3 linked regions of the Nothobranchius furzeri genome follow. The protein of the gene in region 2 purifies or fractionates together with the protein of the main gene of each other region. This does not show direct contact. Links are inferred from orthologs where the notes say so. Each region holds a gene or a part of one and is shown on either strand. Other genes may lie near its edges. The genes, in order: ybx1, dap3 and hnrnpub.

What was found.
Region 1: the proteins of dap3 (region 2) and ybx1 purify together in Homo sapiens (co-immunoprecipitation; 3 studies listed by BioGRID and IntAct, with this or other methods). This does not show direct contact. The link is inferred for Nothobranchius furzeri from reciprocal best matches to the Homo sapiens genes DAP3 and YBX1.
Region 3: the proteins of dap3 (region 2) and hnrnpub purify together in Homo sapiens (affinity purification with mass spectrometry; 3 studies listed by BioGRID and IntAct, with this or other methods). This does not show direct contact. The link is inferred for Nothobranchius furzeri from reciprocal best matches to the Homo sapiens genes DAP3 and HNRNPU.

What each region holds. Positions count from the first base shown.
Region 1 is NC_091755.1:32,512,099-32,522,610, reverse strand, and holds ybx1 (Y-box-binding protein 1), read left to right. Parts: upstream 1-4,193; 5' UTR 4,194-4,370; coding exon 4,371-4,476; intron 4,477-5,992; coding exon 5,993-6,056; intron 6,057-6,290; coding exon 6,291-6,324; intron 6,325-6,406; coding exon 6,407-6,496; intron 6,497-6,578; coding exon 6,579-6,857; intron 6,858-7,219; coding exon 7,220-7,317; exon of another isoform or gene 7,318-7,587; coding exon 7,588-7,828; 3' UTR 7,829-7,871; exon of another isoform or gene 7,872-7,941; 3' UTR 7,942-8,295; downstream 8,296-10,512. Other genes in the region: ppih (peptidyl-prolyl cis-trans isomerase H), read left to right, coding at 3-71; arhgef16 (rho guanine nucleotide exchange factor 16), read right to left, coding at 8,502-8,641, 8,714-8,815, 8,975-9,039, 9,235-9,420, 9,915-10,066, 10,193-10,285, 10,387-10,461. UniProt on the Homo sapiens protein: DNA- and RNA-binding protein involved in various processes, such as translational repression, RNA stabilization, mRNA splicing, DNA repair and transcription regulation.
Region 2 is NC_091745.1:77,849,845-77,860,341, reverse strand, and holds the start of dap3 (small ribosomal subunit protein mS29), read left to right. Parts: upstream 1-3,973; 5' UTR 3,974-4,059; exon of another isoform or gene 4,060-4,218; intron 4,219-4,306; 5' UTR 4,307-4,309; coding exon 4,310-4,450; intron 4,451-8,434; coding exon 8,435-8,536; intron 8,537-8,621; coding exon 8,622-8,730; intron 8,731-8,810; coding exon 8,811-8,903; intron 8,904-8,982; coding exon 8,983-9,113; intron 9,114-10,497. UniProt on the Homo sapiens protein: As a component of the mitochondrial small ribosomal subunit, it plays a role in the translation of mitochondrial mRNAs. Involved in mediating interferon-gamma-induced cell death. Displays GTPase activity in vitro.
Region 3 is NC_091742.1:29,991,334-30,000,157, reverse strand, and holds the end of hnrnpub (heterogeneous nuclear ribonucleoprotein Ub), read left to right. Parts: intron 1-1,010; coding exon 1,011-1,125; intron 1,126-2,356; coding exon 2,357-2,436; intron 2,437-2,510; coding exon 2,511-2,650; intron 2,651-2,738; coding exon 2,739-2,838; intron 2,839-3,317; coding exon 3,318-3,430; intron 3,431-3,776; coding exon 3,777-4,040; intron 4,041-4,118; coding exon 4,119-4,238; intron 4,239-4,429; coding exon 4,430-4,558; intron 4,559-4,631; coding exon 4,632-4,800; intron 4,801-4,888; coding exon 4,889-5,170; intron 5,171-5,240; coding exon 5,241-5,515; intron 5,516-5,593; coding exon 5,594-5,728; intron 5,729-5,805; coding exon 5,806-5,856; 3' UTR 5,857-6,086; downstream 6,087-8,824. UniProt on the Homo sapiens protein: DNA- and RNA-binding protein involved in several cellular processes such as nuclear chromatin organization, telomere-length regulation, transcription, mRNA alternative splicing and stability, Xist-mediated transcriptional silencing and mitotic cell progression.

The sequences.
Region 1 (10,512 bases), on a different chromosome or scaffold from region 2:
AGAATGTACCTACAGGACCAAACAATAAGCCTAAACTCCCCATTGTCATTGCTCAGTGTGGAGAGATGTGATGCAGCTACCTACGTGTGTGACATCTGGATCTTCTAGCAACATCGGTTTATATTCCTTATACACACACACACCAGAATTATGGATAGCTCTACTGTTAATTCTCAAGATTACTTCTGATTTTTTGGTTCCTGCGCAATCACTTTTCTACTGTTAATGTTGGAATATGTTTAACATTTGTTTTTCAATAAATCCAGTTCAACCCAGTGCTCAAGTTGTCTCCCTGATTGTTTCTATTGATGCTATGCACAAAATATCAGTCAATTGTTGCACAATTTGATGTTTTTGTATTCTAAAAAGATTGTGCAACTCTTGATAAGTTCAGCCATGGAGAAAATCAGGCTTTGAATTCCAGTGCTGTTGAACTTACGGCTACCCCTGGAGCCAAGGCTCCAGCACCCGACCCCCTTCCCCTTGAACATCATTCTCCCGGCATAAAAGAATCCTTTGAAATGGAGACTTTTGTGAAGGCAGGAAGAGAGTAGTCCTTTTTTTAAGGGTCCTCTCTATGGTGAGGCATTCTGGGACTGTGTGTATGTGTGTGTGTGTGTGTGTGAGAGAGAGAGAGAGAGACTTTTTTTGACTTAAATTATTTATTTTTCTTTAGAAATCAACAATCAGCGTTAATGACTGAAACTTGTTTTCCACTGATAAAACCAGGAAACTCGATAAACCCAGTTTAGAAGTTGATCCTTAGGGAGCCCTGTCCATCCAGCAGACAGAGCACCAGCCCGATCCCCCACACCGCTCTAAACGAGTCCAGGTTCCCAGTTAGTTCATAAAAAGCGTGTTTGATCTTTAAGCGAGCTTCCACCAGGCCCTTCAGGCTCCGCTCAGCATAAGTCCAGCTCTGTCCCAGCATCTGGTTTTTCCTGGTTTTCCAGATGGCTAGTTTTGCACATGCAAATAAAAAGTTAATTTACAATATTGTCCGTTTTTTCTGACATTGTACTTGGGCCCGAAAACAAATAAGGGTAGGGTAAAAGCCTCCCCCAGTGCACTAACCCACCATTCTAAAACCCTGAACATCTCTGGTAACCTAGAACATGCTACCACTAGATGCTCTAGGGTTTCTGTTTGGTTACAAAAAGGACATCCCTCCCCGGTGCTTGGATCAAAGCGGGCCCTGTGTCTGTTCATAGCTAAAGCTCCATGTATGATCCTCCACTGGAGGTCTGCCATCCTTTTTACCACGGAGACTTATACAAACTCCTCCAGCTGCCCCCAGGGGCACGGTCTGCAGCAAACACCTGAGTCCACCTCGACTCCTAACAAAGAGCACCTATGGATAACCTTCACACAATTGTGATAGATCTGTTTCTTCCCACAAGACTGGAAGGAGCCCAACACTGGAGTGTTCGGGTTCAGCAGTGATCCACTCTCCTCCTGCCAACCCTCACCAGCTGCTTTAACCTCCAAAGATGGAAAAACGTACTCACTGTCATCATCCCATTGGTCAGATAGAGTACAAGTCTCAACAAAGACTGCAACACAGACAAGGACCTCCGTACCTCCTCCACCACTCTCTCCATCACTGGTGGACCTCACATCCACCCGCTCACCAAGGGTTCCAGCCGAGATGTTCAGTAAGTGACCAAACATTACAGTCCCAGCATCGGTGAACTTAACTTTCATTGCAGACAAAGTTAAAATGCCAGCTCGAGAGAAGAAGTCATTGTCAAACAAGGGTTCTTGTAGCAACCATGTCCCTGGTCCCATGTCAGACACTCGGGAAATTGTCAGCAGCTTAAATGTGTCCGCACTGACGAGTAGAACGGACTGATCCTCGTCAGATCCAACACCTTCCGATTCAACAGGAACAGGTGTTTGTTCAGCCCAAGCCCACCAACCTTCTACAGCAGGAGATGAGCCAGGGGGAGCCTGCAGAGTCTGTCAACATATAGAAGCTTCTGAGCCGTCTGTAACCTGAAGGCTGCAGTTCTAGACACCACTTCTAGACAAGTCCTTGTCCTCCCTCTGACACGGGTAGGCAAAGAGCCGAAGCTCTGATCCAGTGGTGACCGGACCAGAAGAATTTCACCAACAGCTTCTGAACACCTTCCAGCAGACCCGGTGGTGGAACCAGTACAATCAGTCTGTGCCACAGAAACGAGGCGACCAGGTTGTTTGCTATCAGAACCCTGCCCCTGTAGGACAGCTGGGGGAGAAGCCATTTCCATTTAGACAACCACACCTCCACCTTCTCCAGCACCTTCTCCCAGTTTTGTTTCTGAAATCTTTCACTACCCAAGTACAGGCCTAGTATTTTAATACCTCCCGCTCCCCACCTCAGCCTTTCTGGCAGAGGCGGGACATTACCAAGGTCCCACCCCCCCACTACACATGTCTCACTCTTGTCCCAGTTAACATTAGCCGAGGATGGATTCTCATGTAAAAGTAAACTAGATCTGAGTTCTTGTGCATCCTGCTGATCATGGATAAAAACATTCACATCATCTGCATAAGCAGACACAACTTAGGGAGGACTAGAGACAGGTAAAGGTAGGTGTAGACCTTTCAGCCTGTTCCTTAGCCGACACAGCAGTTGTTCATTAGCTAAAATATACAGTTGTCCTGAGATGAGACAACCCTGTCTTGATTCCTCTTAAAACTGGTATGGGTTGACTCAGGCCCTCCGCTACCTTCACCATACAGCTGACATTCCTATACAGCATCTTAATCCATTCCAGAAAGGACCCCCCAAAACCAAAGGCCCGTAGCCTCTCATTAAAAATAAATTGTCCATTAATTACTTTCCTGGTATTCAAAAGGACTGATCGTCTGGGATTAGACCTCCGATGAATCCCCAAAGTCTGTTTGATAAGAATTTAGAAAAAATCTTATTGTCTGAACATAACAAGGAAACTGGTCTCCAGTATTTTAGTTGGGTTAAGTCCCCTTTTTCGGCAGCAGGGACAGAACGCCCCACCTACACGATGCAGGAAGTGCTCCTGTCTGAAGTGAGTCTTTAAAAACATCCATCAGGTCCTGTCCCATACTGCTCCAGTAGAATTTGTAGAAGTCAGCAGGTAAGCCATCTATCCCCAGAGATTTTCCTGCAGCCATCTGGGAGACTGCCGTTGTAAGCTCCTCCATGGTTATGTCTGCATTTAAGATGTCTTGGTCTGCTGTGGTCAAGGAAGGGAGCCCCTGCAACAGCTCTCTGGCACAGTTCACATCACATGGCCTTAAATAGGCTGGTATAGAATTCTCCTGCATACTTCCTCATCTCCACTGGGTCTGTGGATAACTGTCCATCTGACAGACGAAGAGCAACCATTTGTTTTTTTCTGGTTTGAAAGTCTTTTCCAGGTTAAAAAAGAAGGATGTTGGAGCATCCATGTCCTGTAATGTGGTGAAACGAGCCCGGATCAAGGCCCCTTTGGCCCTCTCTTGCACGAAATGCCCAAGCTGTTTTTTTTTTTTACCAGAGACATAAAATCTGTCTAATCTAGCAGCACTAACTCCGAGAGAGAGAGAGAGAGAGAGAGAGAGAGAGAGAGAGAGAGAGAGAGAGAGAGAGAGAGAGAGAGAGAGAGAGAGAGAGAGAGAGAGAGAGAGAGAGAGAGAGAGAGAGAGAGAGAGAGAGAGAGAGAGAGAGAGAGAGAGAGAGAGAGAGAGAGAGAGAGAGATTAACCGCATGCGCTTCACACATTGGCCTGTGCTTGTAAAGGGTGCCAGTGGTGCATGAACATAATATGAGTGGATTCTGCAGTTACCTTTGTCTTTACCTGCTAATATTTATGGGGTGTTTATTTGTCTTTTCTTAGAATGTTCCCACGGTAAACATCACAATAGTAGTAATTATTTCAACTATCTAGAAACGACAAAATAAATTAAACATAAAGTTGTCACATTTGCAACATACCACATGTATGGTTCACAGTTTTGTATGACATAATTCAAAATGCATAATACTATCGGAAGTGTCACAAGCAGAATTCTCTCGCTTTTACGTCACTGGGGGCGTTGAGACTTCTGTACGTCTTTTTGACCAATAATTTCATCAAAGGCTTTGCTCAAAAAAGATTGACAGTCTCAATAGCCAATTGGAAGGAGATTTGTTCAATTCTACATATTTTAGCTAATCAGGAGACGAGATGGGCGGGTCTTCGCCTGGGAACATTCCCCTGCACTGTCTCTTGTTCTGCCCAGTTCGATCGGCAACGGGAGCGGAAAGAAGAAAGCTGAGAGCCCGAAGGCAGTAGCCCCCACCACCGCCGGCCCAGGTTACCATCTAGCACCGGGAAAAATATCAGAGAGCCGCCGCCGGCTGAAGCCATTACCAACGAGTAGTAACCATGAGCAGCGAGGCCGAGACGCAACAACCTCCACAGCCTGCTGCGGATGCGGAGAGCCCATCCAGCCCGGCACCCGCAGCTTCCGCGGGGGATAAGAAGGTCATCGGTAAGAATTCTTAGGCTAGCCGAGCCGGAGTTATCATTTATAATTTATACGCTCTTGGGTGTGGATGTAGCATTTGAATAAAAGCTGCCGTTCTTGCGTGAGAATTTCAGCCACGTCAAATTAATTTGCTCCAGTTGGTAAACGTTAGTGCCAGTTGACGGATAAATTCTTCACTCCTTTGGGCATTCTTATTATAATGGTCCAAAAAATTCAATCTAACGGTTTTTATTAGTCTAGTTTCTAAAAATTGAGTGGTTTATTCACAGATTAAATCGTGAATTCCATTCTGATTATCTCCATTGCTCATCGGCCTCCTCACGTCAAATATCCGTTTGAGAGTCGCGTGTATCCGGCCGGTCATCACATGGATGCTCGCTGTCACTTCCAACCGTTGCCAGAACCACGATGTTTTGACTAGGGTTTAATAACTGCATAACTGCATCTGGACCGCCAATAATTGCAGAACAATCCTACCAAATGCTCTATAACACCGGTTCATGTGAAATAACTACAGTGGCTACGAACGTTAGCTGCTTAACCATCTCTTTGTTCGCACGAAAGAGTCTTGATTCCATGTCAAGGCATTTTATCTAAAATATTCTCCTTTTCCAAAGCGTTCAGTCCCGATTTTTTTGGCCAAATTGTCAGAAGAAACGTTGTTGGCTAGCGACTCCAGCTACATCCGTCAATGGCGGTCTTATTTTGGTTGAATTTGCGTGCTGTCGGTGTGGCCTAAATACTTTACTATAGATCATCGGTTGCTAACCTAGCTACATTAGCCTAGCCAGCTAAGTGGCTATTTACATGGCTTTAGGGGAGGCCGTCCAAAATGTCCGCCGTGTGTTTTCCCGTTTTTTCCCGCTGCTTTGTAATTTGTTCGCTAAAAACTAATTCAAAACCGAAATCTTTATCATATATACCAATAAATACGGATTAATGTAGTTTAGTAATGCGCGTTTGTTTGTTTCTCTTTGCTGGCTCTACTCCAACCACATGGTACTAACCTTAGCCACACAGCCATGCTAATAGCCAGCAGAGCACAGCTCACAGCTCGTTAACGTATCCGGGTGCGACCCAACCACGTGTGAACCTTCAGGTTCTGCGTCCTAAAATGGAGCAGCAGGTCTGCAGTAACTAAACATGCGAGTGCAGAGACTGGTCGCTGTTTGCATCCTCATCTTTGTCATGCATTATGGGACATTTTGGATGCGTCATTTGGGACAGTTGTTGTATCGTTACTGGGATATTTTCTTACTGGTGGCTCATGTTAGGAGCAGCTGGCCCTGGGGTCTCCTAAGCATCAGTGTCTATAATAGGAGTGACAGTTGCGGGTTAAATATAACCTCTACGTTATGTGTGGCCATAGTTTTTAATGTTTTTATAGTTCTGATGTAGTTCGTTAAGTGTCCCATCATGATGGAAGCGTTTCAGTTTCACTTAAGCTATATGGATTTGTTCTAAATGCATGTCAGGCAGACGATGGTATTTAATAATCTTGTTCTGACTGTGATTGCAGCAACAAAAGTCTTGGGTACAGTCAAATGGTTCAACGTCAGGAATGGATATGGTTTCATCAATAGGTGAGTCACCTGTTGGTCCCTGTGTCAAAGTACATTTCTGGGTGTGGGTGAGAGTGAAGCATGCTAATCCTATTAAGTTATGCTTTGCGTACTTGGCTGACCATATTATTTTTCTGCTCATCTCCATCCTGTTGCAACCCACAGAACTTAATTAATCCCCACTGGCTTAGTTTTAAGTCTGTTTGCAGAGGCTCAGCAGAATGCAGCTAACTAAGATTCTGTTCTTTTGTCTAGGAACGATACAAAGGAAGATGTTTTTGTACACCAGGTCAGTTGTTGCTTTAGTTTTTATTCATTTATTGAAATTTGTGGTTAAGCAGACTTGACATTCAAACTATTTGTAATTTCAGACGGCCATAAAAAAGAACAACCCAAGGAAATATCTTCGCAGTGTTGGGGACGGAGAAACTGTGGAGTTTGATGTAGTTGAGGGAGAAAAAGTAAGTTTCTTTGATTTGTTTGTTTAAAGGACATTGTGTTCCATCATGATTAATTTACTTTGCCTTTTTTTCTTGTGCACAGGGAGCAGAGGCAGCAAATGTCACTGGCCCAGGAGGAGTTGCAGTCCAGGGGAGTAAGTACGCTGCTGACAGGAACCGTTACAGACGCTACCCACGAAGGAGGGGGCCTCCCCGTGGAGGAGACTATCCAGAGAACTACCAGAGCGACGAGGGAGAGCCTGGCAGTGGAGGACGTGACAAAGGCAGCAGAGAGGGTGGAGATAACATCCCTGATGGAGATTCGCAGCAACCACAGCGCAGACCAGCGTACCCTGGCAGACGGCGCTACCCACCATATTTTGTACGTAGTCGCTACGGCCGCAGGCCCCATACACCCAACGCACCACGCAGAGATGACTGAGGTACGCTGTCACAGGGCTAAAATCCTGAAACAGTCACCCAGTTGTCCCATTCCAAAATTAAAACCCTTTGTTGTAGACGAGCTACTCTCCTCTTCACAAACGTGGTTGTGATCAACTAATCTTGGTGTATCGGGGGTCTTGGAAGTGAGCCCCTCCTGTCAATGAAAAACAACAAAACTGTGAACAAAATCTTGAAAAAAAAAAAAAAAGAATTAAAACAAAAAACTTAGATGGTTTCAAGTTTCTAAAGTGGGTGTGTCACTAAAAAAAGCGTCCGTTATGGTTAAATGTTTGTTTTCAGGGAGGTGAGGTTGATGAGGGCCAAGGAGGTCCAGACCAGGGGAACAAACCGGCGAGGCAGAACTACTACAGAGGCTTCCGACCAAGGTTCACACCAAGGTTTGCATGTTGGCTTTATTGATGAAGGGTTGGCAAAAACTGGAGTAGTTGGTGAAGCTCTGGGTCCACTGGAGCTTCATTTTAAAAATTTGAAGTGATGACAAAACGTCACATTACAAACTTCTGTTGTTGCAGCCCAACCTCAAATTGCTGCTGTGCATTCATTTTATTTATATTTGCATGTCTTTGAAACTTCATCCAGCATCTGCAGTTAATGCAATCTTTACCCCGATTTTCTGAATCGTTCTCATGACGGTCTCTGTGCTCCAGGGGTCCACCCCGTCCCAGACCGGTGCGAGACGGCGAGGAGGACAAAGAAAATCAGGGCGGTGAAGGTGGTCAGAATCAACAGCCCCGCCAGAGGCGCTACCGCCGTAACTACAACTACCGCCGCAGACGCCAACAGACTGGTGGCAAACCAGGCCAGGAAAACAAGGAGGCCAAGACAGGAGGCGACCCACCTGCAGAGAAAACGTCCGCTCCCGAGGCCCAGCAGGGTGGGGCTGAGTAGTGAACCTGCCCACCGGCACCTACCATCTTTTACCATCGTCCGGGTGAGCAGAAGCTCATTAAGCATTTGATGTTCATGGTGCATGTCGACTAAATTATGTTTCTTTTCAACAGTTTTTCTTTTGTCAACAAGAAGAAACATCAAACAAGATCCGAGCAATAAAGATTTGACTTTTAAGATCGTCACAAGCTTGCACCACGCGTTTGACCAGATTACCACCGATTGCCTGCAGAATCTATGCAGACTTGTTTTTCTTTCCCATTATTTTTACTTGCAGCTACAAAACGTTTTGGGGAAACAACAAATGTTTTTCTAAATCTGTCCTAAGTTTTTACACCAAATGGTTTTTAAAGATGATTAAAAATGAAATTTGATATCTGGTCAGTTTGACATTTTTAAATAACTTTTTATGTATTCAGACATTTTAACAAAATGCAAGCTCAAATAAAACTCCAGAAACCAGAAAATGTGTCTGGTGGATTTTATTATTTATACAGGCACAATATAGGAGTAGTTTAATGAAGATGTTTGAACCATTAACTGTTTTATAAACTGACTACATCAAATTTTATGGCAACATTCAGCTAATAAACATCTTTCAGTCTAGTTATGGACGTCTGGGGTTCAGTGTAATTTATCTACAAGTCTGTCCAAGCAAAACCCTGACAGTTGATCAAACATTGGTTTCCTTGCGCAGGCGCTTCATACGTTGTACGTTATTCTCCATGGCGGTGGGGTCGGTGATCTCTGTGGCACAGTTAGCAGGAAACCAGCCTCTCTCACCATCCCGCATCCTCTCCCCGTAGCACCAATCTAAGGAGAGCAAACGGTTTAAAACACAGAAGCAGAAAAGAATCGGGACTAGTATGAGCTAGAAAGTCTCACCCTCCTCCTTTTGCAGAACTATGACGAGCTCAGCCTGCCGCAAACTCAGTTCATCTGGCTCTTTGGGGATGTAAGCTTTGGTGGCTTCATACTGTGGTGAACCTGAAACAGATTCCCATAATGCATTGCACTGGGGTTCACAAATCTAACTCAAATGATTTAAAATATTAAAAGAACGAAAGGAAATTCTGTGCAGCTTATCCTCACAGGGAAAAAGTCTCAACCATCATTACAGCAACTCACTGAAGTATGCAGACTTACCGTTTGTGCAGGTAAAACTGGTCTGCTTCCCTCTCAGTGCAATTATCCAGCGAGCTCGGTCCACCCTTGGCAAGAGAGAACAGTGAGCTATCATTCTGCCAGCAGAGGGAGCCAAACACTCAGAATCGTGGATTACAGGAAGGCTTTATGAGTCCAGCCTGCAGATACATGTTTACAAGGCGGTTCTTGTCCAGGTTAGAGGCAGTGTTATTAGTAGGAAACATTACATTTACTTTAGGAACATGGGAGTGCAGCAGTACCTGGAGTCAGCCACCAGAGAGGTTTGCTCTGACTTCCCCTCGCTGTTCTTACTCATCCTTAGTCTGAAGGAAAGCTGGTTGGAGTTGTATTTTGTAGGTGACACTCCTCGTACTTCTGCATCCTCCCCTAACTCCACCTCCACGTTCTCCAGAGTGGCGTAGTCCAGCACCACGAAGCTCTCCTCTCTGGATTTAAAAAAACATTACGTTCCATATGGGTAGCGTGTAGGAGTGACCGTGTTTAAAAAGCAGCATATTCCTCAGCTGTCTGCTTAAACCCTTATCGTATGCTTTCACCTGAAACCGGGTCACAGCTTTGACTTTGAACCCGGTGTTGTGGACAAACCCGTCCTCTGAGCGGACGTTGTTTGGCTTCTCCCTAACTCAAAACAGAAGTCGGTCGAGCTGACGAGCTGAATGCAAGATTGAAGAATCCCAAGTATGCATGCAACACATCCCATACCCTCTGCTCGTGTTCCTGTGACCAGCTGGGTCTGTTTAGTGTCCACAGGTCACAAAGACAACATAACGCCTCTATCAGACACTCTCAAGCTGGCTGTAAATTAGACAGGCAGCACAACTAGGTTTGAAGTACTCTGAATCAGAATCGGATCTGTAATTTTCAGCTTCATTCAGAAACTCGGGTGAATAATATGAACAAGCTCGGTGAATCCACTCACGTCTTCTTCCTGGTGATGATGAGTACATCAGAGAAGAGAAACAGGTAGTAGCTCCTGTTGCTGAACGCTCTCCATATGCTGAGCTCCTCGCTGGAGATGGAGAGCTCTCCTCGCTTCTTCAGCCATCGTGATGATGAAATCAGCGGGAAAGGCTGCGAGGAGACAGCTGTTAGTTTTCTGTGCTGATTCAGATTCATCACTGTTCATATTAAATCTGTTAGTTTGCTCGTTTTACCCTAAACGAACCGCTCTGAGCACATTTCTGCAGAAATACTCACCTTTATTTTTCCAAAATCCATCTGTTTCTGGATCGTGTACATCTGCTCCGTCCTCTCCATCCGCCTTGCACCGTCGTTGCAGCTTGTGACCAACTGTTGAGATCACAACAGCAGCAAAAACAAATCAAAACATCAACATCCTCAACACACGTGTACTGATGAGGAGTGTTTTCCACTCAGCTGACTTGTTATACCTTACTCATGGCATTCAGTGCCCAAACAGCAGAAAAATACTCCGCTGTCTGTGCTGGAGTTTTCTGACAGATTGTCTGCAAATAGAAAAATAAAGCAATTAAAGGAGTAATACCGTAGCTAAATTA
Region 2 (10,497 bases):
CTGCAGGTCTGCAGCGATACCCTCCTCCCTGAGCCTGAGATCAGTGGACTCAGTGGTCTCCTTTAAAAAGCAGCTGAAGACTCACCTGTTCAGGCTTTTGAGTGACCTTCATCACCACCCTCTCCTTATTCTGCTCTTTCTACTTATTCCGCCTTTCCCTGCGATCCACTGATTTCCCTCTTTCCCATTCCTTTTCTCTCTCCCTTTCCTTACATTATTTTTTTATCACAATTTAATATTGTTCTCATTTTAAACATATAATATGTTCATTTTTATTCATCTTTTTTACACTTTAATTGTTTTTTTGTGAAGCGCCTCATGATTTGTATCTTGAGAGGCGCTAAATAAAAGATTATTTCTTTCTTTCTTTCTTTCTTTCTTTCTTTCTTTCTTTCTTTCTTTCTTTCTTTCTTTCTTTCTTTCTTTCTTTCTTTCTTTCTTTCTTTCTTTCTTTCTTTCTTTCTTTCTTTCTTTCTTTCTTTCTTTCTTTCTTTCTTTCTTTCTTTCTTTCTTTCTTTCTTTCTTTCTTTCTTTCTTTTGTGATCTAACTAGTGATAAACAATCCTACACTTTAGGGTCACTGCCTTTTTAACAGGATTTGTACGTTCCTCTAGCCTAGCAAGCCGTAGTCTGGCCACCACCCAACGCAGTCATTGGGCGAACTCCATGGCTGCCTTTCAAACTGTCTCCACATGCAATTGGACAATTCTAGAACCAATCAGAGCAAAGCACAACTTCATTATCATTGAGCTGGGCAGTTTGTCAATAATGTAGCAGATGTCATGTTTCATGTCTCAAAAAAAAAGCTCAAGTCTAAAAAGTCCAAAGCTGATGCCAAAAACATTTGAAATGAATGCAGTTTCTGATCCAACGCCATCTTTGGACAGAGATGGACTTGCTGAGGCTACAGTGGAGTGTGGCTAGACTGACCCGCCGAGCTAAATCTTTTGCTATGGTGGAGAACCTCATTACTGCAGGTGGTGAGTTCTAACTTTATAATAATTTATCAATAAATTATAACAGCAAATAATACAATTGTGTGGTTAATATTAGCCTACAAATATTTTTTGAATCTGGGTTTTCAGTTTATTCGTTCATGCATTGATTCTTCTTCCGGCCCTTGGAGAGTACAGATGCTTTTTTCTCCTCTCCCTCTCTCCTTATCCCAAGGCTCTTTGTCCTGTCGGTGCACGGCGCTTTCTGCATTTTTCTGGAAACTGGAACTTATTAAAAATGGACCTGGTCAGTTGGTCTCTCAACGCGATTGACAACATTTTTCAACGATGAGAACGGGAGAAGGGGCTCCCGGATGCCCCTCTGGGACAGAGCCAGCTGGGCATATCATGGACTCCTGGAAACAGTGGAACCTGATCTTTCTCTCTCAACTGTCTGTAGAGGATTCTGAAGATGTTTGGATATTCGTTGTTTTGGTGTCGGGATTCCTGCTGTTTGGCCTGAGCGGTTACCCGGCTTACCGGAAAATTTACGAGCTTTTGAGGAATATTGGCTCAATCCCGGAGCTCAGGGATGGAATGCATCGCGCTGTGAACACACAAACTCATATAATTGTTGAGATGAGTTGTAAGCTTGGAACTTTGGCTGAGATTCAGGCTCTGACCCAGAAGGTGGATTCCATCAAGGAGCGAGTGGATGGATCAGCAGGGATTGGGATAGATTGATTAAGCCATTATTGGATCTAGAGGGGTTGATGACCAACAGAACACTATGGCAGAGAGGAAATTATCTGTCTGTCCCCAAAACAATTATTATCTGAATCTGGTGCCCTGGAGCGAAGAAATGTGGAATGTTGTCGTAGCTATGGAAACTCTTTCTCCCTATCCCAGCCTGGGCGCGACTGTGACCGGTGAAGGCCGTGGAACCGTGCTCTCTAACCCATTATCTCTCTCCCCTGTCCAAACGGAGGTGATGAGCGCTGCCCCATGCGGCTGCACGCACTGAAGTGAGGAGAGACCCAACCCTACCTCCCCACCTAGTGGACACTTATGTTGTGTAACGCCTGAAGTCTGTGTGCATATCTGTCTGAGGTGTTCTTTTGCAGAGCAAAGCTGCCCTCTCTGTGGAGGGTAACTCTGAAGTGCCTTTTTCCCTCCCCCTGACTCTATCCTCATATAAACCCTCTTGATCTATTACGGTAGCGCGACTCGTGTTGCGAATGACCACAGTCACCAGTTCTTGTCATGTGTCTATGTATGTATGTCTGATCTCAGAATTGTGAGCACTGAAACTCTAATTTCCCTCTGGGATTAATAAAGTATCTTTGAATTTAATATGAATTTAATTAAGCATTGAGCCAGAAAGAAACATAGCAGAGATTGAAATTTGTTCCACTAATTAGGGAACAGCTCCAAAAACCCTTTCCACTCCTGGTTCTGAGTCATCGTGAGTGTGAGAGTGTGCACTCTCCTTTTTTTCTTTCCTGTCTAAAGGCAAGCTGCTGTCTTTTGAATGACTTGGCTTGTCTTTTGAGGGCTGATGTTGATTTTCAGATGTACAGCTCGGCCAGTAAATGCTGATTTTGGTATGAAAAACTCCATTTGGTGGGTCTGTTAGTGCTTAATGGCGATGCTTTCAAGGATCCCCCCAAACAACAAATAATGAGTAAAAATACAATTTTGACTTCCTGATTGGCCAATCACAGCTTCACACTAGAACTCCCAGAAAACCGACAATTTGACGGCTGTCATTTTGCCCATTAAATGCAGGCTGACAATGACTTTGTGAAGCAAAATGGTTCAAGTGCGTTATTGAGACACTCACCTAAAGGATTATTAGGAACACCACACTAATACGGTGTTCTGCCTTTGTAACTGCCTTAATTCTATGCGGCATTGATCCAACAAGGTGCTGAAAGCGTTCTTTAGAAATGTTAGGCCAGTCTGAGTATTTCACAATCTGCTCAGTTACTGGGATTTTCACCCACAACCATTTCTAGGGTTTACAAAGAATGGTGTGAAAAGGGAAAAACATCCAGTCCTGTGGGAGAAAATGTCTTGTTGATGCTAGAGGTCAGAGGAGAATGGGCCGACTGAATCAAGCTGATAGAAGAGCAGCTTTGACTGAAATAACCACTCGTTACAACCGAGGAAAGCAGCAAAGCATTTGTGAAGCCACAACACGCACAACCTTGAGGTGGATGGGCTACAGCAGCAGAAGACCCCACCGGGTACCACTCGTCTCCACTACAAACAGGAAAAAGAGGCTACAGTTTGCACCAGCTCACCAAAACTGGACGGTTGAAGACTGGAAAAATGTTGCCTGGTCTGATGAGTCTCCATTTCTGTTGAGACATTCAGATGGTCGAGTCAGAATTTGGCGTAAACAGAATGAGAACATGGATCCATCATGCCTCGTTACCACTGTGCAGGCTGGTGGTGGTGGTGTCATGGTGTGGGGGATGCTTTCTTGGCACACTTTAGGCCCCTTAGTGCCAACTGGGCATGGTTTAAATGGCACGGGCTACCTGAGCATTGTTTCTGACCATGTCCATCCCTTCATGACCACCATGTACCCATCCTCTGATGGCTACTTCCAGCAGGATAATGCACCAGGTCATAAAGCTCCACTCATTTCTAACTGGTTTCTTGAACATGACGATGAGTTCACCGTACTACAACGACCCCCACAGTCACCAGATCTCAACCCGGTAGAGCATCTATGGGATGTGGTGGAACGGGAGCTTCGTGCCCTGGATGTGCATCCCACACATCTCCATCAACTCCAAGATGCTATCCTCTCAATGTGGACCAACATTTCTAAAGAATGCTTTCAGCAGCGTGTTGAATCAACGCCACGTAGAATTAATACAGTTCTGAAGGAGAAAGGGGGTCAAACACCGCATTAGTGTGGTGTTCCTGAAAATCCTTTATAGTGTTTTGATTATATGCTGCAACGGCTTTCCAAACAACACAATTCTCTCATGGGCTGTCATTGCGCTTGTGTGAGCCAATTGGCTAGTTTAGACGACGCGTCACTTCCGGTAAAGAATAATGGCGATGTCCATGAGCGTTCTGGCACATTGACCACCAACAGAAATCAGAGGTTAGTTTTTATCCACATTCAGCGTGGAGCCGGTTTTATGTGTTTGAATGAAAACAACCACCACCGCTTCCTGCTGATTTCCGAGGAGCTTTCAGAGACGTCAGCGGTCGGGTTAGCTTGTGTGGCTACAGCTAGCCGTTAGCTACGTGTTTACGCAAGGTGATGTGACACTGCTGTGGAGACAAACGAGACTTTTTACATCTGCCTTCGACTTTACACCCTTTTAAATGTAACCGTTGTGTTTCAGATCATGGCCCTCCACAGACTGACTTTCAGGCTAAGGCCAAAGGTCAGGTCTCTTTACACCAGCGGATGTTGGCAGCTGGAGGCTGCTGCTCCGCAGTCCGAACCTGAACCCCTCTCGGTCTGCAGAACACAGGAGACAGACCCGGTGAGCCACGACACAGATGTTTTAGTAGAAACACAGACAACAGATGTGTTTAGACGGGTCAAAGGCAGAAGTCCTGCTAAACACGTTCACCTGACCGCAGGGGCGCAGATAGGATTTTCAAACTGGGGGGGACAAAGTTCCAATGTACCCTCCTTCAAACACACACACACACACACAGCTCAGTCAGTTTGTGGAATTTCATCCAACGGTTTACGTAAAAACTAACTTATATATACGTGTTTGAAGCCGTTATGCAGTGGAACGCTGGCAGCAAAGCTCTGCCTGATCAACACTATAAATGATAAATGATCCGCACTTGTATAGCACCTCTCAGAGTAAGGACTCCAAAGTAGGGCTGTCGCGGTTGAGGAATCCCCCCTACGGTGATTCAGGGTGGCTTAATATTGCGGTGTGCGATATTATTGCAGCCCTTTTTTTATTGCAGTACTATCTAAACATAATGTTTACACATTTAAAAAAGGTTAAAAATTGCCGTTCCTTCTTTAATAACACTTTACTGAATGCAGATCAAAGGGCAGTAACAACACAGATCGCAGTAACGTTTGTTTCTCCGACAGTCGGAGTCCGACTGAACTTGAAAACAACAAAATTCAGGAGGTTAAACTTTTAAATGCTAATTTGGCTGCAGCATCTAACAAATAAGAAGCAAGTGCCCATTTTGTTTAGTTGTTTAAAATCAAGCATAAAAAATTACATGTACAGGGCGCGGGGCACTGTCATTTTACTTTCACACACACGAATGACGGTGATTTATAGCTCGGGCACGTCCTTGTTACCCACAAGGAAAACCAGCATGTTAACCATATACGGTTTGAGAGAGGATCTGAGAGGGGGGGCAACATTTCCAGCAACACTGAAAACCCTCTCGGATGGTGCGCTCGTTGCACTAACGCACACGTACTTGCGTGCGACTCTGGCGAGCAAAGGGAATCTCTCCCGGTTGTTACTCCACCATGTCAGGGGGGTTCTTTAGGGTGGATGCATTCCTCCTGCAGGTAGCGAGTGAGCTCCAGCTCGGCTCAAACTCTTCGGGACGGCTGCAGAAGCAGTGCTTGTCTCGGACTTCAGCAGGTCTCCGAGCGTGTATTTATTTATTTATTTATTTTTGCCGCTGGTGGCAGCTCTGTCTCGGCCAAGGACTCTGGCTGCGCAGCAGCTGACGTACTGAAAACCAAAGTGCTCCCAAAGGAGCGAAGTAACGTTTTGTTTTGATACCAGTGCAGCCATCCTTCTCAACATGCATCATTGAGTTGAATCAAGTTCAGTGATCGCGGTGGCCCATGATGCAGCGCGGTGGGCTTCTTCATATTGCGATATTTCATTTTTGCGGTTACCGTGACAGCCCTACTCCAAAGTGCTTTACACTACAGTGTATCATTCATCCATTCACACACATTCACACACTGATAGTGATGATCTACGATGTAGCCACAGCTGCCCTGGGGCACACTGACAGAGGCGCTCCACTATTTAATTCAGTCATTTGTCTCGTCTCGTCTCGTCTTCCTCCGCTTATCCGGGTCCGGGTCGCGGGGGCAGCATCCCAACTAGGGAGCTCCAGGCCGTCCTCTCCCCGGCCACCTCCACCAGCTCCTCTGGCAGGACCCCAAGGCGTTCCCGGACCAGATTGGAGATGTAACCTCTCCAACGTGTCCTGGGTCGACCCGGGGGCCTTCTGCCGGCAGGACATGCCCGAAACACCTCCCCGGGGAGGCGTCCAGGAGGCATCCTGACCAGATGCCCAAACCACCTCAACTGACTCCTTTCGATCCGGAGGAGCAGCGGTTCTACTCCGAGTCCCTCCCGAATGTCCGAGCTCCTCACCCTATCTCTAAGGCTGAGCCCGGCCACCCTACGGAGGAAACTCATTTCGGCCGCTTGTATCCGCGATCTCGTTCTTTCGGTCATTACCCAAAGCTCATGACCATAGGTGAGGATTGGGACGTAGATCGACCGGTAAATCGAGAGCCTGGCTTTCTGGCTCAGCTCCCTCTTCCCCACGACAGATCGGCTCAGCGTCCGCATCACTGCAGACGCCGAACCAATCCGCCTGTCGATCTCCCGATCCCTCCTACCCTCACTCGTGAACAAGACCCCGAGATACTTAAACTCCTCCACTTGAGGTAGGACCTCTCCCCCGACCCGGAGGTGGCAAGCCACCCTTTTCCGGTCAGTCATTTGTTATTCTCCCAATCAATTAGTAACCAAAACCTCGTGCTGTATGCAAAACATTAAATGATTTTCAGCATACCGATCTTTACAGAAAACATAAAAACCCTAAAACACTGCACATAAAATATGTTTACAAAACGATATTCACTTATCACTTAGAGCAGTGGTTCCCAAACTTTTCAGCCTGACCAACAGATGTTCCTTCTTATTTTTACGTTATTTATACATTTTCATTATATTTGGAAAGTTTTAATTTATATATAAATGTATAAATCTCTTTTTAAATTTTATATTTGACTTTTTTTATGATTATGTGGCACACTTGACTTCCATAAAGAACGCATCGGCATCTGCCTCTTTTTTACGGCTTTTTTTTTTTTTTTTTTACATTGTCGCTACGTCTGTCATGTTAGCGGTGTTTTACCATCATTTCTACATCCACCACGTCCCAGAGAAGGTTAAACCAACATCAAACCCAACGTTTGGAGCTTGTAAACTCCACACACCTCTCGTGCAGCACCAGCTGTCTGATGCTGCAGCAGCTCAATCTTCCCGGCTGGATGAGTGAATTTCTTCATCAGAGTCAATATTCTGCTTCATAATCAGAGTCAGTCATGACCAGACAAAGTGATCAGTCAACAAAGACCAGACCTGCCGGCAATTATACGTTTTATCTGGTTAGGGTTAGGATGGATCGGGGTCGATCTGAATCTGGGGGGGACAGATCCCCCCCATCCCCCACCCTATCTAGGTGCCTGCCTGACCGTTGTGATACGCTTATGTGTTCAGTGGCGGATTTAGCTATTTGGGGGCCCAAGGCGAACACAGTCATGGGGCCCCTTACACTAAAATTTCGACAATCTCATCTTTAACTGGATTTGCGAAACTCTCTCCTCTTCTGCCACGAGTTATTTTCACGTTTTATTAGTCCTCCTCATTTTTCCTGTCTTTCTCTCCCTTTGAGCGCTTTCAATATTTGCTCTGCTTTCGTCTTCCTGTCAGTGCTCCTGTGCTTTTTACCTTTATTTTTTCTTCTTCTATTTTCCATTTTGGTCTGTGTTTTCTTCCCTTTAAACATTTTCCATCGTCTTTCCTTTTCTGCTTCCTTTTGATGTTTACATAGAAAAACGACGTCACTTTTGGGAGTGAAGCCAAAAGCTTTTTTAAAGCGAGCTGCTTCTTTCTCTTATTGGAGCCACTAGGATAACTCCATTTCATGCTTCATGTTTTGACTATCGCTTTGAGTTTGTTACGAACGCTCCCGCCTCTCTTCTTCTTCTTATTTGTGGTCTTATGGCACTTGGCAAACAACAATTTGGTGCATTACTGCCACCAACTGGATTGGAGTGGAATGACTACCAATCACTTCCTGTTTGTGCATCGAGTTTTAAAGGAATGGTCCACTGTGGCATTAACAGAGGGGTGCTGGCCTGGCGGTCAGAGCTAGGGGACCCCCTCAACATAAGGGGGCCCCAGGCGGCCGCCGACCTATGCCTAATGGTAAAACCGCCACTGTGTGTGCTTTTGATGATCATCACTGGAACCGCACCATGCTATGGAGGATAAAGGCGTGAACATGTTGAATTATTTGGAGTACGCTTTGTTTGCATTTAGCTAAACAAACTATGTACAGGGTGATTTAATTATTTTCTGCATTTGTAGTTAGTTTCACTTTAATGCTTTAATCTGGCTTTTATTATACAGTATTAGAATCACATGAACTTTGTTTTGAAGGATGCCAGTTAAACATGATTTTTTATTACTTTTGCTCTTGTTTGTGTGTCTTCTTAGGCCGGTCACACAGAGAAACACATCGGACAGTTCTACACGCTGCCGCCCTCTCACGTCCGCCCTCTGTTCCCTCATGGCCTCCCCTACCGCTTTCAGCAACAGGCATGTGAAAGCGCAGAACGATGACACTCACGTGTGCATTTTAGTATTTGCTGCATCAAATGTAAACATTCCTGATTTGGTTTAGGCAAAAACGTTCAACGAAGCCTGCGTCATGGTAAGGCAGCCGGCCCTGGAGGTCATCTCGTACTTGAAAAGCACGGACTTCAGCAAACCTGCTCAGAGATATTTATTCTGTATCCTTTAAAACACACACACACTGGGGTTTTCTCTTTGCTCTGAATGAGTCAGTTTGTGTCCTGATGGAGTTGGTCAGACGGGTTAAAGGGTAGCGGCAAAACCATGTCCCTCTGTCACACCGTCCACTTCTGCTACACACAGGGATGGCTGGTGCTGCACGTTCCCGATGGTGAGACACGAACACAAATGTAGCACAGAGAGCTGAAAGCCGGGGCCGGGACTGACCCTTGTGCCTCTGCCTCACGCAGCGCATCTGTGGGTGAAGAACTGTAAGGAGCTGCTGCCGTCGTCTTATAAAGACACTCGCTTTGATCAGCCGCTACAGGCGGTGACGTGGCTACGCAACTTCAAAATTACCAACGAGCCCTTTCTTTCCAAGGTAACTCTTCTTATGTTGCTTTAACCTGATGAATCCTAGTGGAAATGAAAGTAATGGATAGCATCACGAACAGCCTCAGTTTGGAGAAACTGATTAATTGTGACAAGATTGACAAGCTAACAGCAAGGCTAAGGCTGTGGATTAGTGCCAGCATGAAACAGAAATAATCTGCTGTTTACAGCAGGTAATAATCCATGTTATCACCATCTTTCCACAGAAACCAGCTTTAAATTAATTAGCCATATTTGTGCTAGCATACCGTGTCCTCGTTAAAACACGCAGTGTGACACCACCCCATAAAAATAAATGTCATTTAACGTAAACGTTAACCAAAAATTCTCCTCAAGTACCATAAAAATGACGACAAATAGATTTACCGTAAATCCTCTAATACAGGCCCTGGCCTGTATTTTACTCAAGCTCACCAAGCTCCAGGCCTTTATTGGGAGGAGGGCCAGAATTAGAGGCAAGCCTCAATTTCAATTTGAGCAAAATGAACTACGAGTAGAATGAATAAAAACGGGGTGTGTCTATTTGAATCTATAAAATCCTAGGTTCATTTATTGAAATTGTACAGTTACCATAACGTGGTACGGTTTGCATATAAAACATTAACAACAAGGCTAAATTACAGTAGGGAAAAACTGTATTGTAACAAAACAATAGCAAACTAGCGATGGGTACCGAATTCGGTACTTTTTAAGGTAGCGACTGAATTCCATAGTACCAACTGAGCACCTATTCACGTCATTTGAAACGGTGCCTCGTTTTGATTCCCATCCTTCATAACGAGAATTTGCCAAGACAGCTGCGCATGCGCAAGAGTGTTAGTCGTCGGTCGCTGCGAGCGAGTTGTAAACAGAGCAGCATGGTAGAAAGAACGCACGCTAACGCTTGGGTCCACTTCACTAAATGTGAAGGGTAACTGGGTGATGATGAAACCAGCGACAACGATCTAAGTGAGACATCCTCATCTTAATCTGCTCCGGTAGGTTAATAAAATGTTAAGATAACGTTAGCTTGATATGTTAGCTTCCGTTCCGCTAATGGTGCGTTCGCTTTCTCCTCGGAACTCCGAATTTCCTACTAGAAGAACACGAACGCGCTCTAAAGTTTGGCTTCACTTTACTAAATGCGACGAGTGATTGGGTGAAGATGAAACCAGTGACAACGATCTAAGTGTGAGGCATCATCGTTTTAATCTGCTCCAGCAGCTAAATAATCTGTTTGAGATAACGTTAGCTTGACATGTTAGCTTCCATTGCCACCACTGTTATCAGCTAATGGTGCGTTCGCTTTCTCCTCGGAAATTCTAACTTCCCAGTAGGAAAAATCAAATGAAAAAAGACGGCAAAAGGAATGAAGATACACAGTAAATTTAGTT
Region 3 (8,824 bases), on a different chromosome or scaffold from region 2:
CCCGTTATCAATAACACTTTAGTCTTACTGAATGATTAACGGTTTCACAAACTCCATTTGGTAGCACTTTTAGCTTTTAGCAAGGTTCACATCCCAGCTCCAGCCTTTCTGCATGGAGTTAGCTTGTTCTCCGCGTGCATGTGTGGGTTTCCATGGTTTCCTTCCGCAGGTCAGTGCATGTCAGCTTCAAACTGTTAGTCCAGATGTCTGCGTGTTTTTGGGCTGGACCACTTTGAGTTGCCCATAAGAACTAAATTGTCCCAGTCTTGGACTGTATGTGATTGATTAAATTATTAAAGATTCTATCTAGTGTAGACGAGTGAAGTCCAGAATCGTGTTTAGCCGGATCAAAAGCCAACACTAGCATCAGGTCTGGTTATGAGGTGCAGATGTTTGAAGGAAGAGCCTCAGCAGGCTGATGTAAAAGACCTGAAGCTGTATTTGGGTGTTAGTTTGGGTTATGAGCTTGGGAACCTCTGAACTTGCTAACCCAGCGCTTTGCAGAAGAACGGAGTGGCCTACAACTTTCCTGATACGTCCATCGTGTGTTTTCGATTTGAAATACAAGCGTGATATTAAAGGGTATACATACATTTTTATTTACATATCATCCTTTTCTTTAGCGGGGGGTGTCATTGGGCTTTAGGTAGGTTTCCCTGCATGGTTAACTCCCCCTGATGCAGTAGACCCTCATCTAGGACTAGAGGACTTGTATCTGAAGGGTTCTTACCCTTTCACGACCCCTTTTCCAGCCCCATCAAGCTCTGCTGCTGCTGTTCATTTGGGCCAGTTCATGCTGTAATTACTACCTGGTCTTACCAGTTGTTACAAGTCATGTAATATGATTGTACTGTTTTAAATGTAACTATGAGGTGTTTCCTCTTGGTAATCATGCTAGACGCAATGTAAATAATGAACGGGCTTCGTGGGCCAGAACCCCACTGCCAGTCCGACCTCTCTCTCTCTCAAAAAGGAGCACCTCATTCTATATCTTTGTTCTATTTTCAAAGGAGATGCGGACAAAGACACGAATGCTGATCAGAAGAATAAGAAGGGTGTTAAGAGACGCCGGGAGGAACATGGAAGGGGCTACTTTGAATTTATTGAAGAGAACAAATACAGCTGGTAAGGATGGGACAGAGCCGAGGTGGCCTTCAGCATCCCTGAAGCGCCATCCAAGCTTTGTTGAACTGTATTGGCTTTAAGTGCCAATGCACATAACTAGCAAGAGGTAAAGCCTCGTTTGAAGTATTCTATCATATATTTATGATATAACCTTTCACACATGTGTTTGAGGGTCATCCCTGAATAGCTAAAGCCTTACCATTTACCTTTTTACACTCACATTGTGTCTTTAACGACTGCATTCTGTAGCAGAAGTGCATCTATCAATCTCATATCTGTTCCTCATGCCACCTATTGTTCTGGAAAGCCCGTTGTATCCTCAAGGAGACTCCAGGCTGCTTTAGGAGAACCCAGCGACATTAGTAGAAGGGGGAGGGGTCGATGTGGGGGAGTATCCCAGAGGCGTGGGTTTGCGGGGACCACCGCTGAGCTAGCAGTGGAGGCGCTCACCGATCGCCCGTTGTTTCCGCCTCGCAGGTCTATCGATGTTTGTCATTTGTTGTGCATTTATCTCACTGGATGACTGATGTCCAGATGCTGTTTCTGTATCGTGTGTGTGTGTGTGTGCGTGCACTTTTGCAGGACTGTTTCTACCCCTGCATAGGTGACATCATGCATGGCCTGTGTGAGTGTGTGTGTGTACATGAAACTATTACCGGTCAGTGTTTTGTTTTCATTGCGCTGCTGGCACACCGAGGATGAACGGGCAGAAGCTGAACGTAGATCTGGAGGTTTTATTTGAACAAGGATTAAATCACCTCTACGGTGCCGAGAGTCTTCGTTCACCTGGTATGAACGGGATCCAGACTCGGCTGCTACACAGCGTGAGGACACCAGGGAAGGTTTCAGACACAGACTGGTGTTTCATAGATTCATGATGTCCAGTTTTAATTCTTAGTCTTGATTTAAAACACAACATGATCCAGCGGTCCCACACATCACATAGCAGCCCTGAGCTCACACTCACCTGGACGATATTCACATCTGATCAACATCACGGGGCGATGGCGACGGTCTGTATCTTTCCCGTTTTAGATTTCTGCGGATGCTGTTGGGTAAGTCGGTTCCTGCCAGGGTTTGTGAGGCTCAGTCATGTTCTGTTTCCCTTTCTTAAAGCCCGTCCACTTCTCTCCTGTGATGTTTTTCAGCAAATGGTCCCAAAGAACATCAATGTGCTCCACTGTCACCCCCGCGTGAATCCTCTAATTTACTCGCTGCCGTCTTCTTTCAGTGCTTCGTTTAAGTCTCCGGTACCGCCCTTGGAGGAAGAGGACGAGGAGCTTGATGAGACCAAAGTCTGCCTGGACAGCTGTAAGAGTTGATGTTGGTGACCTGCAGGGACACGTTGATGCCGGTGTTGTTTACGGGAAGTTTGTGTTCTGCAGACAACTGCGACCTGCACTTCAAGGTGTCGCGGGACCGTTACAGCGCTTCGTCCCTCACGATGGAGAGCTTCGCGTACCTCTGGTCTGGAGGCAAGGCCACTCACGGTGTAAACCAAGGCAAGGCTTGCTTTGAGATGAAGGTAAGTCCTCTGCTGCTGCTTCCTGCAGCGCTGGTGTTTTAAACCCCGACTGGTGGTGTTGCTAGAGTCGTGTGTGGTGTGATTGCAGGTTACAGAGAAGATTCCAGTGAAGCACATATCCAGCAAGAACCTGGAGATTCACGATGTCCAGGTCGGATGGTCTCTGGCTACCGGCTCGCTGCTCCTAGGTCGGTGAAGCAGCTTGTGAAGCTACACGAGGGTTTAGCTTCTCACACCTGGCACCACATCTTCCATAAGCAGCAGCAGAACCTGTTTAAGCCGGTTTAACGACCAGCGGCGATAGGCCGAGCTGTCTTTATGCCTGTCCAGTCCGTATGTTAAACCCACTGTAGGGTTTCATTATGGCGCTGTGTGTGACATTCATCAGGGTCAAAGGTCACATTTTTACCAAACACACAGCTGCTGAACTGGATTTCGTGTCTTTTATTGTTGTTTTATCTTGTTTTTCTCTTAAATATAAATAACATCAGATTTAGCCTGGGAAGTCTCTACCCCATGTGTTTATTTAGTCATGACGTCAGGCAGCTGCGGTCATGCGTGACCGACTCAACAGCTCCCTCTAGTGGGCTGTAAGCAACATAGCATGTTGGTGTGAATGCCAGCGGAGGTGAGTTGTGGCTGCTGATGGTAATCTGTTGGTGTTCAGGTGAGGAGGAGTTTTCCTTCGGCTACTCCTGGAAAGGCAAGAAGACGACCAACTGTGTGACCGAGGACTTCGGAGAGCCGTACGAGGAGAACGACGTCATCTGCTGCCTCATCGTAAGTCCAGATTCCTTTTTTAAAACTTCCAGACACACATTAGACCCGTACCATGGTGTACGGTAGGAAAGGGCGTGACCCCTCCTGTGATTGGCTGGACGAGCCAGTGCAGGCACAGAGATAGGTGAGTAGGCTGAGCTAGACTAGAAAAAAGTGGACGTAGTGCAAAAGAAGAGCAGCAGTGTCCTGGCATGGAACCAGCAACCTCCCAGAGGCCTGGTCCAGAGCTGCAGGAGTGGGTGCTTTACCTCTGAGCCCCTGTAGGGGGCGTAGGAAGATTGTTCTAGGGTTAGAACATTCACCACATCTTTCTAAACCAAAATGTCGCCTTTCCTCCTCGATTCAGGACTTTGAGGGTGAGGAGGTGGTGCTGTCCTTCTCCAAGAATGGTGGAGAGCCAGCTGTGGCCTTCCAGGTCCAGAAAGACTCTCTAAACGGCCAGGCCCTTTTTCCTCACGTCATCTGTCGCAACTGTGCTGTGGAGTTCAACTTTGGCCAGATGGAGACCCCGTACTTCCCTCAGCCTGAGGGCTACACCTTCATGCAGCAGATCCCCGTCGATGAGCGTGTGAGGGGTGTGAAGGGGCCTCAGACCAAGGCCGACTGCGAGGTGTGTGTGACGGACCTCTGCGGTGTGTGAATAACGGTGCGACTGACTAGAACCTGAGCAAACTGCCTGCTTTTGCAGATCATCGTGATGGTTGGTCTGCCAGGCTCAGGCAAGACCACATGGGTGAAGAACCAGGTCCAACAGAACCCTGGGAAGTACTACATCCTGGGAAGTGACACGATTGTGGACAAAATGATGGTATGTGTGTGTGTGTGTGTGTGTGTGTGTGTGTGTGTGTGTGTGTGTGTGTGTGTGTGTGTGTGTGTGTGTGTGTGTGGCAGCTAGCTGGTTGGGTAGAAGTGGCTCTGTCCTTCCACTCATCTGTGTGTGTGTGTGTGTGTGTGTGTGTGTGTGTGTGTGTGTGTGTGTGTGTGTGTGGTTTAAACCAGATCAACAGCCTGAAGCGCCAGTCCAAGGACATCACCAAGCTCAGCACCATTTCCCAGAGAGCGCCTCTCTTCCTGGGGAAGTTCATCGAGATCGCCGCCCGCAAGAAGAGGAACTACATACTAGACCATGTAAGTGGGCGGTCGTGACGACGCTGTTTTCAGGGTTGGCGCGTGTGTGTAACTCCTGACTGCTTCCTTCCAGACCAACCTGTCTGCACCCGGCCAGAAGAGGAAGATGTGTCTGTTTGCCGGCTTCAAGCGTAAAGCTGTGGTGGTCTGTCCGTCTGACGAGGAGTACAAGCAGAGAGTCCAGAAGAAGGTGGAGAGTGACGGCAAAGATGTGCCGGAGCACGCTTTGCTCAAGATGAAAGGTCCGCGTTATTTCACCCACAAGTCTTTTCTTTAGTCTGGTGTCTGACTCTGTCCTGGTTTCCTCCCTGCGCCCCTAACCCGCACCAGGCTTCTTCGCTCTGCCGGAGGAGGGCGACAGCTTCAGCGAGGTCGTCTACGCTGAGCTGCCCAAGGCGGACGCCGCCAAGCTGCTGGACCAGTACAAAGAGGAGAGCAAGTCGGCCCTGCCCGCCGAGAAGAAGCCCAACCAGGGGAGCACGGCGCCAAAAAGGGGCGGTGGCCCGCGTGGTGGCGGCCGGGGAGGCAAGAACCAGTTTGGCCGTGGTGGTGGACCTGGACAGAGGGGGGGGGGTCGTGGAGGCTTCCAGAACAGAGGCAACTTCAGAGGAGGTAGGTCTTCAGGGGAGTGGTGCATGCTGGGAGTTTAGTGGAACAGCTAACTGTATCGACGTGTCCACAGCTCCTGGCCCCCGTGGTGGCTTCAGCCGTCCTCCTCGTGGCTTCCTGCCTCCGCCGGCCTTTCGGGGGGGGTTCCCCAACCGCGGCAGCTTCAGCCGTGGCGGCGCCCCCATTCCCAGTCTGGGAGGCTCTCCAAGAGGCGGTCCAATGAGGGGTAACATGGGACACAGGGGCGGACCCATGAACCGTGGGGGTCAGATGAACCGTGGGGGTCAGATGAACAGAGGAGGCGGAGGCAACATGAGTCGGAATCCAAACCGGGGTCATCCCAGCCAGGTGGGCGTGGTTCTCCGGGTCTGCTGCGTGGCTGCAAGCGTAAATATCTCAAGTCATGTGTGGCTGTGTTCTCCACAGTTCCAGCCCAGAGGTGGTAACCGTGGCAACTTTGGCAACAAGAACAGCTTTGGGAACAGCAGGAACAGTGGGAACTTTGGCAACAGGAACGGCATGGACAAGGCCCAGGCCTTTAACCAGAGCTGGCAGCAAGGGGTCAGTGTCCTCCTGCACCTCATTAATGATTCATGAGCAGAAAGTAATCCGTCCTGTTTGTCTGTGATCTTTTCCAGTTCTGGAACCAGAAACGCTGGAGCCAGCAGTACCAGCCCGGGTACTACTGAGACTCGTTCTAAGGGACTGGTGGTCGACACTGAGAACCCACCGTAGCCACGGAAACCACCCCGCCCCACCCCCTTTAGTCTGTTTTCTTTAGAGTCCCCTTTTAACCTCCTGAAGCCCACGGAGACCGGAGCGAAGCGGAGCTCCATCCTTCCATCAGGGAGCAGCACGAGGGTCGGGTTCAGCGTCTTTATGGTTTTCTTTAGGTTTGCTCGTCCCTCCTCCACGTTTAACCCCCTGCTCTCAGAGAAAACCTCTACCCGCAGGAGCAGAAACCCTCCCCGTGGCGTGTTTTCGTTTTCAGGGTTGTGCATTTTATCTGTGTTGTGATTTTTGCTTTTTTATTATTACAAATTGTAAATATTGTTTTTTATTAGTTCTGTCGGACGTTTGAGACGTGTGTTCTGATCAAGACAAATGTGGGTTCCTTCGCAGAACCCAGGATAAATTATAGCTGTTAATCTGACGCGTTACAGGAAGCAGGTCATTTACAGTTGGTTGTTTTACTTCCTTCATTCAAATCTGTAATAAACGTCATAGACCTACAATAAACTCTCCTTTGCTTTTCTACTTTCTGACGTGTGAGTTGTAGTTTAGCTCTAAGGCTTGTGGACGGGCGCCTCGTTGGCGTGTTTCTGCTTATGAGAAGGTTTTCCTCCATCCTCCCCGTCACACTGGAGCTCTGGTTCTACACGCTTCAGGAGACGCAGGGTTTGGGTTTGCTGCTTCCTGTAGCGCTGTAGACTTCTGAGTGTGACCCGAGCTGACCCGACGACGCTTCAGCTCCGACACTTCCTCACCAGCGAACTGCACAGCGTCCCCACGGCTTTCCAGCAGCTTCTGGACCTTTCTAGCTGCGTTGTCTCGGTGACTGTGTGGCTTTGGGGCAACGGCCGCTCCCCATGGCAGCAGAAACATCCTGCTTTACCTCCTGCTGGGCTTTAGACGCCTGTAAATACCCCACTGGTTATTCATGCATGTGTTCTGTGACGTGAAGAGAAGCTGGAGTCCATGTCCGTCCGTTTCTCTGCCGTGTGTAAACCCTTAAGGCCGACAGCTGGTGGTGTATTTTTATGACGGTGTTACAGGTTTACAACAATCAGGTCTCAATAAATAACTCCAACATTTTAAGACCTTTTGAGATTTTTTACTCTTATTTTGGCGTGAACAGCATCACTGCCGCGGTGTCTCGGTTTACAGTAGATGTTTATTATAAAGGAAATGACATCACTATTGGTAAACCAATACAGAACAGCAGAGGCATTCACCCCCTTGCTAACAGAACATTAAACCCAACACATCAGAGCACTTCTGTGTTTGTAGTAAAATTCTGTATGAACCATGATTCCATAGATTTTAATTATGCTGCCAGTGGCCCAAGTAAATCTGTTGAATCCTCCAAGCCAACCAGTTGTAGATGTAGATCAATCTAATGAAAATGTTTGATCTTCATTCGATTTACTTCAAAAGGAAAGCAAAGTTCTCCTCTGGAGCTGGTCTGCTGGCTCTCCACCAGTGAACCTGGCTGGTTTATGCTTGACGCGTCCGCGCGACTCCGCGCGGAAAAGTTGCGTCATTTTAGCAACCACGCCCCTCCACCGCGTCTCCGCACGGCCCAGAATTTCCGCATCGCGCACCTCGGAAAATTTCTAACCACGCGGACGGACGGACGCGGAAAAACATGGCGGACCAGCAAGAACTAGTACGGCAGAGGTTGGTAAATACAGGCATTTGTATGATTCAGCTCTCAGAGATCACCGTGATCAACATGTTGTTAATAATTCTTGGAGAGAAATAGCTCGCACTGTCGGAAAAGACGAGGACGCTGTTAAAAATGCTGGAATGCCATGTTGTAAACAGTCATTTCTACTTCTACTATGGTGTAGTGTTGGATGCATGCTGTAGAGCTCCATGCTGCCCCCTACAGTTTGGGAGAAGATAAGATAAAACTATTAATCCCTCGGGTGAGTTCCTTCAGGAAATTCAGTTTCCAAAAAAAGCAGCGCAACACCGACAGAGGTTACAGAACGTCAGAAAATATTAAATAATAATAAAAATAGAAATAAATATAAAAATACAATTGAATCGCACCTTCCGGATATCAACGTCCTTAGCACCGTGGAGCATTAAACCAATTTAACTGTACTTGCATTGAGGTATTGCACAGTGAAGCGAAGAGTCACTACAGCTTCGGTGTCCCCCCCTCCTTTGTCCTCCTGTTTCTCCTCCCTCTCCCCTCCAGAGAGGAGTTATACAGTCTGATGGCGTGTGGGACGAAGGAGTTTTTAAGTCTGTTAGTTCTCATCTTGGGGAGAAGCAGCCTTTCACTGAACAGACTCTGCTGTTTGTTTGTGGCCGTGTGCAGAGGATGCCCAGCATTGTCCATGATGTCAAGCAGTTTTTTTAATGTCCTTTCCTCTGCCACTGACACCAACGTGTCCAGTTTCATGCCGGCCACAGAGCCTGCCTTCCTGATCAGCTTCTCCAGCCTAGATGTGTCCTTCTTCGCTGTGCCACTCCCCCAGCACACCACAGCAAAAAGAAGTACTCCGGCAACCACTGACTCGTAAAACATCCTCAGGAGCTTCCTGCAGATGTTAAAAGACCTCAGCCTCCTGAGGAAGTACAGTCGACCTTGGGCTTTCTTATACAGGTGGCCTGTGTTGCATGACCAGTCCAGTTTATTGTCCACCCACAGCCCAAGGTACTTGTACTTATTGACTACCTCCACCTCCTACCTCCAGAATATTGGCTCACCGCAGAGACGAGCCGCATGAACCATAAACACTGCAAGTTGTGAAGCGTGTTCCAGCCGCGAGCTGCATCACCACGCGGAAAGTGAATGCGTCAAGCATAAACCAATATGGTCAGCTCAGACTGGGAGACCATCTAAAGGCTCAGGAACCCTCTGCAGGTGTTCTGGATCCATTAACTGATTATAGTGGGACACTTATATTGAACCTTTTCATA